2 linked regions of the Cricetulus griseus genome follow. The protein of the gene in region 2 interacts with the protein of the main gene of each other region in a biochemical or structural test. Links are inferred from orthologs where the notes say so. Each region holds a gene or a part of one and is shown on either strand. Other genes may lie near its edges.

Region 1 (3,831 bases), about 11 Mb from region 2:
GTATTTCCAATGGCCACAAGATGGCCAGAGGCAAATGTATACATATATGTAGTCTATTTCATTTTTAAGCTACCAATTTTTTTTATAAATTTCACTAATTAGAGAAGTCATTGAATTTGGGAAAGAACAGCTTGTTCTGAAAACAGACCACACAGCAGAAAATAAATCAGCCTTTTAAATCTCAAATACGAAAATCTTATGATTTATGCTTTATCTCCAAGTACGGGTGTAAGCTAGGTACAGATAAAACTTACTGCCTGCTCCTAACATGCCAGGTATTGGACTAACCCCTTAAATGGTCACCTTCCCAACAACCCTGAGACGCAGCTGTGCTGCCTGTCATGCTCTCTCTGCAGATGAAAAAATGGAAGTGCAGGACTCATGTGAGTGTCCCAGAATGAAATTCTCATTCCTACAGACATGCCCAGACTCCTCAGCTTCTCTACTACCCTGTAAGGTCCAACTCCTCTGATTCCACTGGTTAATTTTTTAAAAGTATTCCCAACTTAATATTCCCACAACTACTTCTTTCAATGACTGCAGGCTTGCAAATAGACATATATTCAAAGGGAAACCTTCCATAGCCTTTGTTACCGTCAAACTATGGCACATTCCAGAGCTACAATTTCCCTCCCAGGAGTACTCTGGAGGATTTAGTACTCTGCACTAAACCACAGTGGAGCAACCACCTTGTGGAGCATGGGTGGCATCTGCAGGGTGCAGCACCCAGTCCACCTGGGAGTCACATGGTAACCATTACTCAGCAGGAGGAACAGGTGACTGAGCAATGAGCTTGCTTTTCCTTTGGACAGCCTGACGGGTCGTCTTTCCTTCAGAGGGGGAGTTCTTTATAACTGTTCCCAATTTATTCGTATTCAAAGAACACTCATGTCCTATACCAGATCCCCCCAAATTTATATTGTCTTCCCTTTCACCACTTCATTAGCTTCCTGACTGCCCCCAAATTAGCTTTGCAGGGTCCACAATATATCCCACATATACATGCAATCTATCAGAATTCTTAAGTTTTACCTTATGTAACGCTTTTGGTCATGTAAGGTTGATGGGGTCTCCAGCAATTTCTTTAGAAGTAATTCTCTTAGATCTTCAATCCCTGCTTCTACTTCAGCATAATCTATTTTTAAAAGATTCAAGATTCACAGAACTGAACTTAAAATCAAATTTCAGAAAGCAGAATACTGGTTGCTTTTTGACTTTGAAGAGACACAAGGGATCTTTGTGGAGGGATCAAAACACACCATCCCAAGTGTATGGGAGGGCATAAGCATTCGTCAGAATTCAGTGACCTGTGACATGTAAGGTCTGTGCATTTCACTGCATGGAAATTTCACCACAGTAAAGAAATAAATCCTGCTTTTTGAGAGTTTATGGGTTTCATTCTTTTTAAATTTAATAAGACCTATGGTATTTCTCCTAGTTAATAAGTTTTTAACCAAAAGATATTTAAGCTTTTTTCCCCCTGTAAGCCTGGTATGCAGAGTAATTTTTAAACGTATTGAGTTTGCTTTAGAGTAAGATTAGAACTCATAAATACACTGTTTTAGCTTGAAGAGGGAAGACTGAAGTGCACATTTCCATGTCTGTAAAAGGCTTGTCGCTGCTTCTTTCCCCTATGAAAGCTTTTAATAGCATTGTGGTTAATAAACAGCAAAGAATATCTGAGACTAGTCCCCACCATAAATGCTCATTCCCACTACAGGGCAGTAAGAAAACTTGTGAGGTTATTTTAAACTAATTGTTTTACATTTTAAAGAAAGCACTGCATAAACAAGATCTAAGATGCAAGTAGCACTCTTTGTAGAATATACACTCCACAGTCTTACAAAAGGAAAGGAAAGGTCTGAAAGTAACAAATTCTTGAGTCTTACATTTCTTGAAAACTTGCACCTCTGTTTTCCCAAAAAGCGACTTGGCTTTTTCATAATCATTAATAACCACATCATAATCCCCCTAAAAATAAGAAGCACACAGTGAGATCGTCAGCAAAGAACAGGAAGCACATTGATTAATATAAAATAGCTTAACACATCTTTAAGGTGGGCAGCATCTATAACTGTACATACACATAAACTCTACCTTTTGAATGTTCCGTTTAATATTGAGAGGAAGGTTGAAGAGAAATTTAAATCGCTGTAGCACGTTGAGTGCATTCCTAGTGGAATCTGCCTTGTCTTTTCGACCTAACACTTCTTGAAATAATGTGTCAGCAGTATTACTTGCTCCTGTTTCCAACAGACAAAAAAGAACATAGGTGACAGCGAACTGAATTTGAACACTAAATACAAACGTTAGATTGCTACTGTATCTTTACACTGAAATTCAGTAGACATTTTTAAAAAGACACTTATATAGTGACCTTTCATAGTCTGCTAAAAAAAAATTAAGTCCTTTCATATGTTAAGAAAAGTATCTAATTAAAAGTAACAACATTTACTAAGCCAAAGTAATTTTCTCCAGTGTGAATCTATACTTATTTTAGTTACTCTTCTAAATTTTTTAGCAATTGTGGGTGCTTAGGCTATTTCATTATTTTGGACAATGAGGAACACACACACACACACACACACACACACACACACACACACACACACACACACCAATTAAGTTCAATTAATTCTGTATCAAACTATCAGGTAAAAAATGAGATATGAGAAACTGTTTTCAGAAAAAAAAAAATTTTTAAGACATTATACCTAACCCTACTTTTCGACAGAATTATCCCTCTATGTTGTAGGGACAGAGGATTATATAAACTTAAATGACAACACCAAAACACAGTATCATTACTGTTTTTTAAATCAGCAGAATTTTATAATATCAGGTACAAACAGAATATTTCATAAGATTCTTTCCTTTAAAAAGTACAAATTATACGTATCACTTTAATGAATGCTATTTTTCTAAGGCAAAATTTGCTATATACAGAAATAGTTTAAATTTTGCAACATGTGAATTATTTTTAATTAGCTACAAGAGAGAGGATAAACTGCTTTCAGCTGTTTGACCTGCTTGTAAAAAGTTTCTACATTATCTGGTCTAGTGACTATACTTTAAGCAAAGATGAAAAACTCACCTCGTCTCACTGGGTGGCTTGCACACCATAGCCACACTGTGGGTGGCCTGATCCTGTTAAAAGTCGTCTTTGTAACATGATTGTTTTATCTAAATAATGTTTAAATTCTGTTGAAATTGTAAAGGTCTGATATAAAAACTTCGTTTGGTCAAGAGAGCTGTTTTTCCCACATGCTATTTAATGTGGATACTAAACCTCTATTGTGGGATGAGAAATACATTTCCTTCTTACCACCAAGCCGCGAAATAAAGGCTTGATTGAGTATTTGAAATCTGACTAGAATTTAAAAACTTTCTTCAAGAAAAACTATCTTAAAGCATTTGCTTATCATTTTAAAAATAGAAATGTCATGAGTTTAAGCTTTGTAACTGGATAAGCACATGGAACAGAATCTTTTTAAAGGGTTACTTATTTATATGTGAAGTTTTGGTCTTAGACCAGCAAATTCCTTTTTCTATGCAACAAAAGAACACAGCAAACAGTCTGAGTTCAAAGCTGAATTATTCTCATTACAGTAACAAGAAATTCCCAGCTAATAATTTTAACCCCAAATATATGAAAATAAGAACAGGTAGAAAACATACTATTAAATATATACTTTTTGTAGGAAGAAATTATCAACTATGAAAAAATTCAATTTATGCCAAAATTTGTGAACTGAGAATTTGAATTTATGCAAGTTTGAAAATTATATAGACAATTTCTGTCAAGAAATTATGATTCTGCTATGATTTTTA
Region 2 (2,798 bases):
TGCTGTGACACAGAAGCACTGACTTCATGCTGCTGCTTGTTTTATTTATTCTGCTTTCTTATTTCTAGGTATTTTTTGATTTAATGAGGGAAATTCGAGCCAGAAAGATGGAAGACAGCAAAGAAAAGAATGGAAAAAAGAAGAGGAAAAGTTTAGCCAAGAGAATCAGAGAAAGATGCTGCATTTTATAATCAAAGCCCAAACTCCTTTCTTATCCTGACCATACTAATAAATGTAATTTATAAGCATTGCCATTGAAGGCTCAATTGACTGAAATTACTCTAACATTTGGAAATTGTTATGTATCACTAAAAGCATGAATTGGAACTGCACTGGAAGTCAAATTCACTTAAAAAAGAAATTGTGTGGCTTCACAAGAAGCAGAGCTCAACTTATTTCATAATTGCCTACATTTATCACAGTCCTGAATGTAGCGTGTAAGCTTGTTTTGGGGGGGAGGGGGGATCTTTCTTGAACTGTTAATCAAGAGGTGAGATGGGGTGGGGTGGGAGGAACGGCCACTTCCTCTGGTGTTTATTATAAAGCTTAAATTTTATATTATTTTAAAATGTCTTGGTCTTCTACTGCCTTGATAAATGACAATTGTGAACATGTTAACTGTACCACTTTTTAAACTGTTGTTATGCAAATCTAGAAGAAGAAGTTACTGGCATGGTTGTTGCATATAGTAAAACTGAGAGTAATTCATCTGTGAATCTGCATATTAATTACCTGGTAATTAACTTAGAAAAATGGTGTGAACTTATACATGGACATTTTTGAATATGCCTTAATTTAGAAACTGAAAATAATCCAGTTACATCATTCTGGGTGTGTTCTCACTAGCACTTGGGGCCACTCACTGCCCACATGACTGGTAACAAGGTTTTATCTTGCCAGGCAGTGTAAAGCTACAAGGAAGATTCCTTAGAAATATGTGTCTGCTAGGAGTCTGACCAAATTAAAGATGTGTGCCATACTCTGGTTCTTAGAGTTCCAGAGCTCCTTCATTGGTTTTAATGAACTATAAGGTAGTTAAAGATGAAGGGCCAGCATATGTTTATACAATGATTTTAGATTATGGATGTGAATACCAATTAAGTTTGAGTGAATGCTCCTTTTATGTAAGATGCTGGTCCCCAGTAATCACTTTCTGCAAGTGATTCACTTTTAAGTATTTAATCTCCTGGGAGCAGGGCATAGGGAAGACCATCAGGAAAGCTAATGTAGTTTGCACTAGGACACTTGAGGAAAGATGCTTGCCACCTGTCAGTTCTAAATGTGTACTCATGAGGGTACAGTTTGGGCATTAGAAGGAGTCTTTGTAATCTCTTTATGTTCACAATGAGTACTGTACCTGTATTTCCTAAGGTTAACATGAAGCAGTTGAACATGTTTGGCACACATTGACCAAATGTCAGACTGTGAGGTTTCTGCTGCAAGAATTCAAGCATGCTGTTAGGAGCGTAATTTCAATGGGAAGTAAACCACTATTAGATTTTTCTTTTCCTCTGTGGGGCTAAGACACTTGATTAAACAGTTTTTCTTGATGCACAGTCCTAATCTCATCAGGTCAAATCGATGCTCAGGCATTCCAGGAAACAAGTGTGTACATGAAGTTACCAGAGACAGGCGTTCAGGAACTCTGCTGTCTAGATACTACATTGAGCATATCATAAATATTTGTCCTTAAAGGGTTTGATTTAATATTTTCACAGACTAGGCCATTTGCAAAATTAGAGTTCCCTGTGTAACCCCAGCCAGCAGGCCCAGCATGGCTGCGTGCATTCGTTGCAGTCTGTTGAACCAGGGTCCTAACCACTAACATTGCAATTTGCTTTGAGACATTTCCCTCCCCTGGGTACCAGGTGCTATGAAGCCAGCTGACAGAGATGCATCACATGTCTTAGGCTGATGCCACTACCCGGTTCATTTATTTGCAATTTGAGCCATTTAAAGACCAATAAACTTCCTTTTTTAAAAATGTTTGTGGTGTTAATTGGTGTTTACAGTGTGATATTTTTTACTTTACCCCCTGGGAATCTTGATCCGATATGAAGACTGCTGAGTCTTTTGAGCATCAGTTTGAGGTACCTTCCTGTAATGGGAGATTTCTCAAATTATGGCGGAGTTGGTGCTCAGGTTTAAGTTGCTGCTCTGGATGGGAGGTTCCTTTGTACGGTTGCTGGCAGATGGGCTCTGCACTGTGTTAAAAATCTCAGCTGCCTTTGCCTTCAGATGCTTCTAAACTCCAGAATGGACAGATGGCAGATTTGTATTTGTTTTCCAATCAGAACATTGCAAAGACAGTTTTGCTTCGAAAGGTGAGTAGGAGTGCCTGACAACCCTGTTACCTTTCACATTAACTGTTGAATAGACTTGAGTTAGAAGAGCACATCCTTTCAGATTAACTACCTTAACTGCTGAGCAGTGATGGAAGGAGTGCATTTATTTGTATTAGAGCTGGAATAATTCAACTAAACACCTCAAAACAGGTAAGTTCTAGACTAAATCAGAATGTCAGGTTTCATTTTTAACTTCAGTTGCTTTAATGAACCTGAAGTGTGAACTATCAAAGCATTCTCTAAAATTCCCAAACAAGTGTCAGAAATTGCAAGGTTCATTTTGCAAATTCCTTTAGGAGTCAAGAACGTATCAGTAGTGCGTGCCTTCAATTTGCAGTAGTATTTTTTAGTTTGCCTCTTCTGGCAGTTGCTGGGAATATGCCAGTGAAGGGAAAATGGGCTAAGGGCAATCACGATTGCTCCTATAGAAATGCCAACACACTCCATGCGCAA

Evidence for each region.
Region 1: the proteins of Rala (region 2) and Exoc2 are reported together in a solved structure, tested with the Homo sapiens proteins (2 studies listed by BioGRID, with this or other methods). The link is inferred for Cricetulus griseus from reciprocal best matches to the Homo sapiens genes RALA and EXOC2.

The regions. Positions count from the first base shown.
Region 1 is NC_048596.1:251,627,255-251,631,085, forward strand, and holds part of Exoc2 (exocyst complex component 2), read right to left. Parts: intron 2,244-3,831; coding exon 2,098-2,243; intron 1,972-2,097; coding exon 1,890-1,971; intron 1,136-1,889; coding exon 1,033-1,135; intron 1-1,032. UniProt on the Homo sapiens protein: Component of the exocyst complex involved in the docking of exocytic vesicles with fusion sites on the plasma membrane.
Region 2 is NC_048596.1:240,540,310-240,543,107, reverse strand, and holds the end of Rala (ras-related protein Ral-A), read left to right. Parts: intron 1-68; coding exon 69-191; 3' UTR 192-1,986; downstream 1,987-2,798. UniProt on the Homo sapiens protein: Multifunctional GTPase involved in a variety of cellular processes including gene expression, cell migration, cell proliferation, oncogenic transformation and membrane trafficking.